Linked DNA regions of Diceros bicornis minor. The protein of the gene in region 1 interacts with the protein of each later gene in a biochemical or structural test. Links are inferred from orthologs where the notes say so. Each region holds a gene or a part of one and is shown on either strand. Other genes may lie near its edges.

Region 1 (7,179 bases):
TATTTTGTAAATGACTCTGATAAGCCAGTGGATGACCATTGTGTAACTTAAGCTTTGTTCAAGAACAGCAGATAGGCAGGTGGTCGGAAGCTGGGAATCTCAAATCTAATACCAGATTAATCTGTCATTAATTAGGTATGTTATCTTCCGGTGTTTCTCAAATTTGAGGAATATAAAGGGGAAAAATTCTTGTGAATTCTCAATGTTGGTTTAAGTTAATTTCCTGTTTCTTAAATTTCTACAAACATAAAAGTGATATAAACTTTGTTTATGGTCCTTAATGAAAAGATTTACAAAATAAATGCATTCAAAAACAAAACTAAAACAACAATGGGATGGATGCTATTGTTTTGCAGCAGTGAACATGGTACTGGCTGCTATGGAATAAGTTATAAACACATACAGTCTTATGCCTTCTGATGATTGTAAAGTTTTACAATCTGGACAATAGTAGAGTTGTCTGGAACTTTACTGTTTTGCAGACCTCAAGATGATTGAAATGAGGGGAAGGGGCCTAAATTCTCAAAAGGATGTCTTTGGACTGTCTGCAAATCCTAATTTGAAGAATTCTGTATTACATTATCTGCAAACATTCTTCTAGCTCCAATGAGTAATTCAGAGTCTTGGAACTAGCATTCCTTTGAGAAAAGCTTCAGTTCTTATTTGATCTAGGATTAGGCTTGGCTAGTAGTTAACTAAATTGGATTAAAAGTTGACTATTGTGTGAACTAATACAGGTTTTTCTTTTTAGTTACAGGTGGTCCTTTATACCATTTCAACATTGCACGAACATCAGTTTTCACCGTTCAGTTAAATATCACCAGTCCCCCAACAACACAGTTGAAATTTCAGTTACCATGGTACTAACTGGGAATTGTTGCATAAACTTTGCTACTAGCTCTTTATTCCACAAGTCGTTATGCAAATAAAAGACGTGCATCATGATCAGTAACCAGTTACACATCATTTCTTTCAAAGTCAGTTGCTGACTGGTCACTAACCATCTGTTAGTTCACATACAGATAGTAAAGCATGTAGTTGTTTTGCCTCCTTGTCTCCCAGTGATAAACCCATGTGACATTTTACAAAAATGGATAATCAAAAAAGAGAATTGGTCAACAAAGATGACAGGCAGCAAAGAAACAAAAAGTGATAACACTGGAAGTGAAATTGGATGTGGTCGGAAGATTTGAAAATGGCGACAACAAAGCAAAGATAGGATGAGACCTAGGCCTACATGAAGCTACAGTACAAACCATATTAAAAAATCTGATGAATGTAAAAAACAAGGTAAAGTTGCTTCAACATCTTTCAGTTTAAATTGCACTAGGAACAGAATGCTGCTTATGGTTGAAATGGAGCATTTACTTCTACTTTGGATTGAGGACTAATCAAAAACAATTCCCATTCAGTTTGGCTTCATTCAGGCCAAAGCATTGAAGTTAGTTGCTACATTGAAGAAAAAGGGTAATTACAAGGAGACTGAAAAAGAACATTTTATTGCCAGTAAAGGGTGATTTCATTGTTGCAGAAATTGGCATGATAAATGTTATCTGGTGAAGCTGCAAGCTCACATAAGGATACTACTGTGAAATTTGCACCCAGATTCCAAGAATTATAGGCAGTCCTCGCTTTGCACAGTAGTATGAGACTATATTGTCCAAAACTGCAGGATTTGGATGGGATGTAAATGGACTTCTGAAGATACAGATGACCATGGGAATGTTGACACCGCCGCCGCTCAAGAAGCAGTTCTAGATATGCAGCCAGAGGAACTTAGTGAAGGCGAACATACAGTTATAAATGAGGAAAGTGGTTGTGTCACAAAGGATGAACTTGTCTCAGAGGAAGTGATGCCAGTGGAAAAGCTTCACATTAAAGGAACTCTCAGATATTTCATGATGTTGAAAGCTCAAAGGATAAAATTTTGGGAGCTGATCCAAATTTAGGAGTATGACAATTTGCCAAGGCATAGAAAAGATGCTCCATATCATAAGTTATATGATGAGAAGAAAGCAAGCAGTGTTCAAACTACTCTTGATACTTTTTTGTAAAGAAATAAAACACTAATTTCCAGTGTTTCTAATGTTTTAAATATTAGTTTTACTTTTTTACATTTATAACTAACACCAAGAGAGTGTTTTGACAAATTTTAAGGTCACAGAACAATCACAGACTATTAATCCCAAAGATTAAGATTGCTTTGCATAGTTTAGTTTACTAGTCAAAGCAAGAACTGCCTGCATTTAAAACAAGCTAGGGAGTCTATATTTTATCAACTATAAATACATCACATCTAGAAATGGCTATAGTTTATTTTTAGCCTTATCATAACCATTTATAAATTATAAGTGACATTTTTCATAGTGCTTTTGTGTGCTACTATAACAAGGCTTTGATTTAAAAATTTATAATATTGAATGTCTTATATTTGGACTTTGAAATTAATCCATTTGTAGGGAAAATCCTGTCAAATCGAATAGGGGTTGGTAAACTTCCTGTAAGGGGCCATATAGTAAATATTTTAGGCTTTGCAGGCCATATGGTCTCTCTATCAACTACTCAACTTTGCCCTTGTAGCACTAAAATAGCAGTAGACAATACATAAACCATTGAGCATAGCTGTGTTCCAATAAAACTTTATGGGACACTGATTTCATATAATTTTTGCATGTCGAGATTTTTTTTGCCATTCTTAGTCCACAGGGCTTACAGAAGGGGGTGAGGGACGGGAAGGTTTATAGTTTGACTGAACGCAAGAGGAACGTGTAGTTGCACTGTGTGATTGTATTAAATCATACCAAAGAATGTGCTATTTTGGGAGAGTTGTTCTAATGAACCCTTTTTTCATACCAATGCACACTTATATGTAGTTGGGGGTCTTTTGGGAATGGGGCAGTAGGGAGGTCAGTGTTTTCTGTTTAGGGATTTTTTATTGTCACTTCTTTAGGTAAACTAGTCCTTGCAGCTATAAATAAAAATGGAAGGCTTTTTAGAACACTAGAAATTAGCTATTGTAGCTTAAGTAATCCACTCGAGCTGGTCTATTTCCTTCAGAAAAAAACTTGCTTTTTAAATTGAAGTACAAGTACAAGACACTGAAAGGGTGTTGGAAAGAGTGCAGTAAAACTATAAAAATATGCCTACTCTCTAGTATTTAAATAGTGTCTCGCATATTTTACCTGTTGTGTACAAGAAAGAAACATCCAGTGAAGGCGCTTAGAAAAGGCTTTAGGAAAGAGAGTTGACTGAATGATCCGTGTAATGGGAAGAGAACTGGTCCAGAAGTTAGGAGACCTGGGTTGAATCCAGGTTCCGGTACTTGAGCAAGTGATTTTCCTCTGGCTTTACTTCGCTGTAACCCTAAACTAGAAACGACATTCAGGCAACGCACTAATTAGATGGCAGGCTCTGGCGAAACTAGCCAATTTCCAGGGACTGAGGGCAAATAATAGATCCCAAACAGGACCACAGGGTCCTAACTGGAATACCTTACCCCTACGCCTCTGGAATAACCAACTGTCCACAACAGCCTTTGAGTAGGACCAGATCCTCTGGTTTTAAAGAAGTGCTCAAAACGCAATGCTGTCGAACCAAGTAAGCAATTTTAAGAACCCAGACACAAATTACTGCATTAAGGCCCTTGCAGCCCGATTTTCACGTGGTTTGTCTGGTGTTGGCAGTGTCGCGGGGGCTGCTGACGTCTCACAGGACTGGTGCTACGTGGCATTCCTGCGGGCCGCGGTCTGTCCTCGGCCAAACAGCTACACCCAGGAGGCCGGTTCTTCGTAGTCCGCCACCGCGCCCCGCGCGCCGCCCCTCCGAAAGGGTACCCGGCCTCACAGGCGGGCGAGAACGCCGCCAGCGCCGCACGCTCCGCCCCCGGCCTGCCACGGCTTCCGGAAGTGCCGAGGTGGGCCGCGCGCCGGAGTGGGCGGGGCGAGGCGCAGCTCCCGGAAGCGTCCGCCGGCTAGCTGGGTGGGGCTGCGGCTGCCACGTTGGAGCGGAACGTGGAGGTGGCCCTGGGCGGGGAGGAGGGGCGGCGGCGAATGCTGGGAGAGTCTGACGGGCGCCGCGCTCACGCAGGAACTGGTCGCCGAGGGTCCCCGCCAGGTGCGTCCGCCCATTCCCTCCTGCCCCCTTCCCCGGCCCGCGGGCCTTGAGTTAGATCCCGGGCCAAAGCGGGGACCCTGGCCTCGGTCACCGCTGGTCCCTGCTCGTCTGCGGCCCGGTCTCTGGTGGCAGGGCGCCCCTGGTCTTCGTTTCGGGCCCGGCAGGACGACGCCTGGCGTCACGGCCGCCTCGGGCATCGCGCCGGTCCGCATCGGCCCCTGAGGCTGGCGACAGGGTGTTTTGCGGGGCTGGTAGCTGGGGTCTGAGGTTAGGAGACCTTCAGACCCTTGTGCACAGAGAGGTGCGGTCCCCAAGGGCAAGGGAAGGAAACAAACCTTAGGATTACTTTGGTTGACTTTAGTTTGGTCGGGATTTTTTGTTTATGTTTCAACTGTTGCCAAATTTGAAGGTTCCTAAGTTTTAACTGAGGGCTACTGTGATTTAACCAGGACTGGATTATTTTAAGGACAGTAGTCGCAGATCGCAGCCTATACGTCGAAGGAAGTCTCATTAAGTGTTGTACGTTTTTGCTAGTAAATTACTATGATAAGAGGTTAAATTGCGGGGCAGGTGTAAAATAAATCAAAATATTGCCTGAGCTTGTAGGCATTATAAACTTTTCTGTGAGCTCAGGGAACTAATTTTACGTAGGTCTTTCTGAAATTGCAGTGATGGTCTGTGACAAATCCTTCCTCCTAAACTGCCTTCTCTAACTACAGAAGACTAAAATTTATTGTGTTTGTCGGCAACTGTAACTGTATTTAATCCATAATTAGAGCCTCGTCCTTGTATCATACTAGCCTACGTTTTCTGTACATATCGATTGTTCTAGTGTTGGCTAAAGTTTACTCACCTTTTCTTAGTGGTTCTTCTGTGCTCCTTGTTTCTCATTGTCCCCACTTACAGCTCTGGGAAAGATTTGTAGACTCTTAAGAACTTTTGGATAACTTGAAGTGTTTTTGTGGTTGTGAATTTATGTTACACACATCTAAGGTTATTTGGGAAAGATGAGATTTGGAATGGATTTAGAATTATACTGCTTAATTTTATATAAACAGGTTCTTTTCTGAAGCTAATAACATGAGAATAGAAAGAAATTTGTAAACTGAAGAACAGTGGTTCTTAACCTTTTGGGATTTCACTCCCTTTTGCGGATCTGGTGAAAGCATTGGATCATCTTCCTAGAAAAATGCACGTACATGTATAGGAATGATATAGAAATGATATGAATGAAATGATATACAAAACTATATCATTTCATGAGGTTTATGTATCCCAAGTTAAAAACTCATATAAGGTAGTATTATTAAGTTGATTTTTACGTTGTTTTTAGAAATGTCATTCTTAGGTTAATTTCAGCTCAAAAAGTTTTATTTATTAGATTGCAGATGAGTATGACACTATTTAGTTCAGTAACCAATGCACAGTTGCTTCTTTGATTTGGTTGAGATGAGCCTAGAACATTGATAACACTGAATAAATCTTCTAGAACACGTGTGCCCATCCATAATGAGATATTTTGCCCACACAAGATGGATTTTTATTAAGGCCGTGCCAGCTAGGGATTGTATTCCTGGTTTGGGAGTCAGAGTTTCCAATTCTATTGCCTCTTTCACTTTTAACTTTTTGAGGTATGGGTCAGCTCTCTATATATCATTGTAAGGTTGGTATTTTTTTAGAGATAGTACTGTTGGGTTTTAGTATTGTTTCACAAAATTAGCATTTAGAAAATAAGCGGAAAGTTTCCACTTAACTGCATGCAATGATCGTGGAGAAAAATTTGGATGAAAAAAATGAAAGTTTTACTCTGGAACATAAATTTTTCTTCAAGAGATGTATTCTTGAAGATTTATTGGGATAAACATTTTAAATTGTGACTTTGGTAATAGCTGACATTTACAAGCATTTATTTACTACATGCCGGGCACTGTTCTAAGCACTGTGCAAATTCTTACAACAACTCTGTGGCATGGATACTTTTATTGTACAAATCTACCTCAACTTCTGATGGGGTTACGTCCTGATAAACCCATTGTGAGTTGAAGATATCATAAGTGGAAAATGCATTTAATACACCTAATCTACCGAACATCATAGCTTAGCCTCGCCTACCTTAAATGTGCTCAGAACACTTACATTAGCCTACAGTTGGACAGATTACTAACACAAAGCCTATTTTATAAAAAAGTGTTGAATATCTCATGTAATTTATTGAACACTGTACTGAAAGTGAAAAACAGAGTGGTTGTGTGGGTACAGAATGGTTGTGAGTGTATCCATTGTTTACCCTCGAGATTGAGTCGCTGACTGGGAGCTGTGGCTCTCAGGTGCTGCCCAGCATCATGAGTATCGTACCGCATATCACTAGCCCGGGAAAAGATCAAAATTGAAAGTATGGTTTCTACTGAATGCATATTGCTTTCTCGCCATCATAAAGTTGAAAAATTGTAAGTGGAGCTATCGTAAATCAGGGACCATCTGTACATATTTTACCAAGTGGGTAGCCAAGACATACATAGGTAAACTTACATGCCTAAAGTCAGAGCTGGGACATGGTGCAGTTGGAATTTAAACCGAGAGTGTTGGCTCCCGACTCCACACTCTTAACTGCTATGCTACAGATATTGTCTTACAGATGACTATCTTCACAATTTTCTTTTTATATTTTCAAAGTTATTATGTTCTGTGTAAAATAGTCTTGAATAAAACAAATCTGCATAGTGTGAATTCTAATCACATAATATTGAAAAAATTACACAAAGCTGCAAAACTGCTCTTTTTTTTTTTGCTGAGGAAGTTTCTCTCTGGGCTAATATCTGTGCCAGTCCTCCTCTATTTTGTACTTGGGTCGCTACCACAGCATGGCTGCCGATGAGTGGTGTAGGTCCATGCCCAGGAACCAAACCTGGGCCGCTGAAGAGGAGCGTGCCGAACTTAACCACTAGGCCATGGGGCTGGCCCCCACACAAAGCTTTTAAAGCAAGTCTCACTTGGGAAGTACACATGGTTTAATCTAAGCCTTCTTACTTCATATTTTCAAGAAAATTAGTTACAACTAAATGAATG
Region 2 (7,338 bases), on another chromosome or scaffold:
TGTAAATAAAGAACTCACCGTCTCTGTTCATTTACTACTATGCAACGGTTATGCTTTCAATTGCTGACTCTTCTTACTCCAGCAGTGTGGTTCTGAAATGTCTGTGGTGTAAAAAAAAAAAAAAAAAAAAAAAAAGGGCAAAAACCAACATCAAACAGAACATAGTAAATATATACTCTGTAATGTATACTTTTTCTGTTTGGGACTGGACCACCCTCTTAGCTTCTTTTCTGTCTTCTGGACAGGGGCTCCAGGAGAAGGCAGCAGATTCATTTCTGAGGTCTAAGCTCACCAACTTGTCTCCCTCCAACAGATGAGGGACGAGCAGGGGCCCATTCAGTGACCTCTGGGGCTGTAGAGTCACCTGCCTTTAAGGTGGGCAGGGAGGAAACTCAGGCGTTTCCTTCCTGCGACTCAAGCAGTGCTCTCCCTAACCCAGAAGCAGCCTCGATTGCTCCCACCAACCCCTCACCATGGCCCCTTGCCCCCTTGTCCCAACCAAAGCATAGAGCTGACAAGAGGGAGGGTGCCCTGCCTCTGACACCAGACTCATGACAATGACTGCACTGGGGCAGGGACTCTGGACCTGTCTTATCCTGGGTATCCCAGTTACTGAAGAGCCACACTTTTCCCCAGCCATCCTGAAATGCCCCCTTTACCGCAGACTGACAGCTTAGATAAATGTGGGTCTGTTTCTGGAATTTCTCTTCTGTTCCCCTATCTGTGTGTCTCATCTGGCACCAGCCACATGGTTTTAATTACTGTCGCTTTATATAATGTTTTAATATGTGCTGGGACAAGTCCCCTTCACTCTTTTTTGTTTTTTACAAAAATTTACAAAATTCCCTGGTTATTCTCTCACATCTACTCTTCCAAGTAAACTTTAAAATTTTGCCAAGTCCTCCACCTCTCCCCTCCTCCCACCCCAAATACTGGGCCCTGTCATTCTATGTGCAAACATCCCGCCACTGGAAGTACTGTCCACTCAGGCTCGTTAAATAAAGTGTCCTGTGAGGAGAGACAAAAAGGGCGCCCTGAATCTTGAGGGAAGCCCAATGTTCCTCCCATCATCTCACCTGTCCCCTAAGCCAGGGTGTCATCAGAGAGGCCACCGAGCCACCACCCAATCTCAGTTTGAGACCCAAAGTCACCCCCTTTGGTTGTGCTGGGCTAGCCCCTCCATCTGCCCTGGTCCAGATGAGAAAGAGGGGTGTCCCCCAGACCCAGAACTACCAGAATGCGGGGCCCAGTTGCCTCTATTTCTAATTCTCCTCATGGAGAAACATTTATTCCTGTCTCCCTTTCCTGAACTGCTTTTCTTTGGGGGAGGGTCAACTCTTGCTCTTCGTTCGGAGTTTTCAGTAGTTGGGTGACAGGCCCTTTGGGGTGCAGCTGTTTCTTGCCTGGCCTTTCTCACCACCCGGACTCCCCTCCCCGTTCTCGCTCTACTTACAGGAGGCTGTCACCCGGGTGCACTGTGACGTGCCTCGCACCCCAAACTCTCTCCACAGTCTCTGAGATCCCACCATTGGAAGAGCAGGGCAGGGTTGCATTTCTAGAAGGCTTTTGGGTCTTCCAGAGCCAAGGCCTAAACCAGACAACAGCAGAAAATCCCCAAGTCTTCTCCAAGTTCCAAAGCAAGCTCTCCTGACGTTGACGTAGAGATCCCACCCACCCGAGTGGGGGCCGGGGGGGTCCCAGGCCCTGGGCATCAGCCATCACCCCCTCCACCAAAAGCAAGAGATTTGAGGCCGCTTTCGGACCGCCCTTCTCAGCCCCGAGTCTGTTTTGTAATGCCTGTGGTGCTCTCCCTCCGGACCTTTCCTCTCTGGGGTCACCACACTTTGCTAACTCTTGTGTACACATATTTTATAACAGAGTAGCGAGGAAATGGTGCCACCTCCAGCTTCCACAAGCTGCCTGGGCTCTGGGGGGCTCTGGGGGGCTCTGGGACAATCGGGGCTGGGAAATGACTGTGCTCTTATTGTACACTCTTTATTTCTCTGTATCTCTGGCTTGTGCTCTTTGTAATTAATGGGATTTGTCTGCCTTTTCAACACTATACTGAGCAATAACAATAAATGCACACATGGAAATGCAGACACGGTACACATCACAAGGCCTTTTTCCGTAGGCTAGCTGGGTCCCTACCCTCCGTGGATTTGAACTTAGGGGGAAACTGAATCCCTGGGAGGGAAAGGCACTTTGCCCAAGGGTGCACAGCGCAGTGGGAAGTCTCTTTCCTTCCACCTAGTCACACCTTTCAAACATCCACCGTTCAAGGGAGACAAGTTTAACCTGCCATGAGTCATTAACCTTTCACAAGGAATGGCTGACAGTCCCAGAGAGCAAGACTTTGGGGGAAGGGGCCTCAGGAGGAGGAGGAGATTCAGGGGCAGAGGGTCTGGGAGGTAGGGGCACAAATTGGAGAAAACTAAGAATGGGCTGATTTGGGGTCTGGGATTAACCAGAGGGAGGTGATGGGAGATATGGACATGGGATGTAGGTGGCATCCCCTACTAGGGAAGGGGAAGGCAGAGGGGAGCCTGGCACCCTAAGAGTCTGAACTTTGCAAACCTCTGCTGAACATCAGCGGAGAATGAGAATGTGCCCAGATCAAGAGATGGTCCCAGTGTTGGTACAAAGGGTGAGGGTTGCACATGCACACCACACACACACACACACACACACACACACACACACAAATCCCAGCTCTTTTCAGAGAGAACTGATCCCCAGATCAAGCACCACAGGCCCATCCAACTTCCAAACACCGTTTCACATCCAAGGGTCCCTTTAATCCCAAGATCCACCTTCAGAGGAGGTATTATAACTCCCACTTGACAGAAGAGGAGACAGCAGCTCAGAGAGGTGGAAGGTGTGCCCACCTAGTAAGTAGGAGAGTCAGTACTGATACTTAGCAGTCTTGATCCCAGTATCAGCACTCAAAACCTCCATGTTATAATGCTTTTCAGTCCCACCAGCAAAGACCCTAATGAATAAGATACAGTTGCATTCCTTGTCCCAAATCCCCAGTCTCTCCAACTTCAATGCCAACACCAAGGAATTCCTTTAATAACCACTATGCCCCATGCATTATATTTGTATTATATCTAATATGCCATTGTCCCCATGTCCACTTGAGGAAGGCGAGGCTCAGAGAGAAGTGATTTGACCTTATCACCCAGAGAATCACTGGTGCAGCCACAGAGCCAAGGCCAGGGCCTGTCCCTTGAAACACAGGGGGCCCAAGAGCCCCGCCCCTTTGTTGGCTGCTCCGCCCTAACGGCACGCCTTCACACCCCTCCAATATTTCTCCATTAGAGGGAAGTGAGGAGTCTTGAAAGCTGGGGTGGGGGTGGAAGGGTGGGTTGCTGCCCAGAGGCCCAGCCCTGAGTTCTGTGAGACGCCACTCGCTGGGCCCCCGCTCCAAAGCTCCTTGATGGTCTGGGTGTGTCCCACTCTCTGAGCCTTAACATCTTCCCTCAAGCAGCACCCTCTCCAGCTAGGGTTCTCACCTCCAGTTTCAAAAGAGGAAATGGAGGGACTGCGACGTACCCAAGCAGAGTCTAGTCTCCACCCTAGTCACCGGACTCCTTACTGCCATGAGCGGCCGAGGGCTGCCAGATCTGTGTGGCTGAGGGAGCCCCCGGCCCTGTCCAGCAGTGCAGCGTTCTCACTGTGCTTGTGGGAAGCGGGGATTGGGGTCAGGAGCCCCGGGGCTTGGGTCCCGGCTCTAGCTGCAGGAGCCTGGCTGAGATCCCTCCTTGCCTGGGGGCTCTACCTGTGAGCCAGACTCAGGGGATCCCAGCTCTCCGAGGAAGGGGCAGTTTGGAGCATGGGTCCCCCGGCTTGGAGAGGGCTCAGCCTCTGGTAGGGGGCATTTCCTGGACTTCTCTGCCCCTGGTCCCAGCCTTGGGTCCTGAGGAGGGACTAACAACAAGGAAGCACGAGGACCGGTCTCCCGACTCCCCCCAGAACTAATCAACCTACAATGGTCATCACAAGGCCGGCCGCACCCAGAACCGCAGACAGGCGGGTGACGCTGTGGGTGTGAATCCTTTCTTTCGTATACGGATCTCAGGAAAAGGGAAGGGTTGATCCAGAGCAAGACAGCCTAGATCTTCATATTCCAAAAGCCCCTGGTCAGGGTCGCCGGGGGAACGAGAACCCCACCCCGCGAGTCTCGCGCGTTCTGCAAGCAGAAGGGGCGGGGCCGCGGGGGGAGAGGTGGGGGCGGCCTTTGGAAAGCGCGGAACCTTGGTGTGAGCTGGCGCGTTGCTGCCCGGAGGCTCCTGCGCCGGGGCCCCACGGCCTGCCGGCCCGGCGACGGAAGTGAGGCTTTCGGAGGCGCCGCCGGGAGCTGCCACGTCCGAGGCCGGAGCCGGCACACTGCAGACATGGTGAGCGTGGGGGCCGGGGCGCCGAGCGGGTCGCGGCCTCCCGGGATCCTTGCCGCGCCGAGGTCTGGGGGCTCCGGCCCTGCCCCGCCGGGCGGCTGGGGTGCAGAGGGGCGGCCCCGGGCCCCGCCGGAGTTGTGCGGCCGCGCCGCGCGCCCCTGCCTGTCCTCTCCTCCCCCCCCGGCGGTTGGAAAGAGCCCCCGACCCGCGGGGCTCCTGCGCCCGAGCCCGGGGGCAGCCCGGCGTGGTTGGCAGTCAGCCCGCCGGCGGCCCTCGAGCGGGCGCCGTCGCCGTCCCCGCCGACCGGCGCGGAGCCGCGGGGCCAGAGGCCAGGCCTGCGGCGCGCCGAGGGCCCGAGCCGGGATTCGCCCCGAGCAGTCCCGGTGCCGCCGCCGCTCTCGGCAGCCGCTGTGGCGGGCGCCCGGCGCTGTGCGGGGGGCTGCGCGGCCCTGCGGCGGGGCCGTGTCTGCGCCCTCCGCGCGGCTCCGGGAGTGCAGGGACGGCCGCCTGAGCCCGGCGCGGGGGTCGGGAAGGCAGGCGTGCCTGCGCCCCGAGGGAGCCCGGGGGAGCCGGGAGTCCAGACGCTGGCTGCAGCTCCTGCCCTGCAGGCGCGGGTGCGAATCGTGCATCTGCTTTAGCCTCTGGTTCCTCAGCTGCTGAGAAGAGTTGGGGTCTTGTGCTCTGACAGTTAGCTCGTTCTAAATGGACTTTTAACTCGTTAACTGATTCTGAAGAGCTGAATTGTGAGGGCTGCTTCTTAATACTTAACAAGGACCAGACGACTTGAGGTGCTTGGGAGGAAGGACTTTTTAATAAAGGGTTTTGTTTTGTTTTCTTAAAAAGCACTTGTTGAGAAGCGGGGTTCACCAATCCTGTCTGGGGTGTGAGAGTAGTTGAAAGTAAGTGCTGGTTATCTCTGAGGTCCTTTGGTTAGCTGGTATGAAACTACCAGTGAATTTTCTTCCTGACTCTCCTTAGCCCTCAGCCAGTGATTTAGGGCATTGGATGTAACAACTACTTTATGTTCTAGATGAGCAGACTAGTGGAGTGGAAAGCTCGGTGGGCTGGGAGTTAGCAGGTGGGGCTCTTCCCAGCTCCACCTTTATCTAGCTCTGGGACTTTGGCAAGTGCTTTCTCTTCTCTGGGCTTCTTCAGTTCTTTAGTCTGTCAGGCAGCTCTGATTAACTCTGCTCTTCATCGTTCCCACTGCACATGTGATGGCACTTTGTAATCTAGACAGCTTGGCACACGTAAGAGACTCTTCTCTTTTATCCTCCTTACCTGCCTTTGCAGACCGAGGGGGCCCACTTTTTAGGGAGTCTAGACTTCGGTGAGAGAACTTGTGCTTACTTGATGTGTACCTTTTGGACTGCTTGGCAGCCATCCTCTTCCAGTGTTCACCTTTCTGAAAAGTCAAGTCAGACTTTATACCTGCAGGTCTTGTGCTGGAAAAGGATGAAATGGGGAAATGGTAAGAAATATCAGTTCCAAACTGAAACCTTTTCAATCCCGGGAGTTTGAAGAGAACAGTGGTTGAGTAAAGTAAAACTGTCTGTTTTTGTTCGTTTGCTTATTCATTCCTTCTGGTTGCAAAGCATTGTGCTGGGTGATTTGAGAGGATTCAAAACTATGGCCAACGCAGACCTTGGCTTGAGGGAGCTCACCTAGTTGGGAGAAGAAACAGCGTCAAGTGTTGTAGACATTCAGTGCTGAAGATATTCAGAGGAGTCCTGCCACTTGGGGGATCTGGGAATCTTCAAAAAGGGGGGCATCATTTGAGCGGGATCAGTAGGTGACAGTCTGAGATCTGTCACAGGGGGTGGGCCAGGAAGCAGCCTCAGGAGAAACTTGAATCAGTTCTCCAGGTCTTAGGTATTAACCGTGTTATGCAAAAAACTGCCTGGAACATGTGAGCCTCTGTCATCCTGGAAGGGAACACCAGCCACAGCTCCCTCAGGGACCCTCTTCACCCCCAAAGGTAGCGAGGACTGCTTGCTATGCCCCCTCTTGGTTCCTGTTATCCCCTTCTGCTTGGACTGTGTTTTTTCCCAGTGCCACCTGGCACTTGCTCCTCATCTAAGCCCCAGTTGGTGTCTACCACTAGTGGCCCATTAGGCTGCTACAGCACTCGTAACCACCGTCAGAGCATTTATCTTGCCATGTTCAGGTTACTTATGTGCAAGCTTCGCAGGGGCAAGAAGTACCTCTTATTTGTGTCTATATCTCCAACCCCTTGGCAAAAAGAAGGTACTTAGAGTGAATGTTTACTGAATGAATGAATGAACAAATGAAGTCAAGAGCTTTAGAAATGATCTGTGGATTTAATGACATGATTGTATTCTAACTGCCATCAGTTCATTTACCAATGATAACTTTGGTTCTAGGTGTCAGTAATTAACACTGTGGACACCTCCCACGAGGACATGATTGTAAGTATTCCCTTAGCGCTCCCTCCCACACTGTGGACATGGGCATTTCTGTGGGAGGGAAACATTTCTGTTGATCATTCATGAATCCAGTGTAGCTTTGCAGCCTTTACCAGTTAGGCTGTAGCCTCAGGGGTGTGGTCAGCCTCCCAGCAGCACCCTGTGGGTTGGCAGGGCTGTGGCAGTCTGGTCGCTCTCTGGTGGGAGGAACGTAGGATTAGTTTATAGCTCAAAGCCCTCAGTCTTCTGGCCAACAAAGTAACCTGCTCTGGGATAGAAGCTGAGTGGGTATAGGTTTGACAATAGTCTTCCCACCTGTCTTCTTCCTGAGGCCACTTCTTAGCCCCATTGGAAAGGGGGTTAAAAGAACAGAGAGGAGGAAGATGACTCAGTACAAATGCAGAGGCCAGGCACAGCGAGAGCCCAAGGCAGAGCCAGGTAGGACCACCACAGACACCCTTTGACCCAGAAGACATTAACTGAGGGCATTTCCGAGAGGCAAACACAAGGCT

Evidence for each region.
Region 2: the proteins of SEC31A (region 1) and SEC13 form a complex in vitro, tested with the Homo sapiens proteins (2 studies listed by BioGRID and IntAct, with this or other methods). The link is inferred for Diceros bicornis minor from reciprocal best matches to the Homo sapiens genes SEC31A and SEC13.

What each region holds. Positions count from the first base shown.
Region 1 is NC_080747.1:67,552,795-67,559,973, reverse strand, and holds the start of SEC31A (protein transport protein Sec31A), read left to right. Parts: upstream 1-4,007; 5' UTR 4,008-4,113; intron 4,114-7,179. UniProt on the Homo sapiens protein: Component of the coat protein complex II (COPII) which promotes the formation of transport vesicles from the endoplasmic reticulum (ER).
Region 2 is NC_080741.1:86,342,184-86,349,521, forward strand, and holds the start of SEC13 (protein SEC13 homolog), read left to right. Parts: upstream 1-4,323; 5' UTR 4,324-4,400; coding exon 4,401-4,403; intron 4,404-6,784; coding exon 6,785-6,829; intron 6,830-7,338. UniProt on the Homo sapiens protein: Functions as a component of the nuclear pore complex (NPC) and the COPII coat. At the endoplasmic reticulum, SEC13 is involved in the biogenesis of COPII-coated vesicles.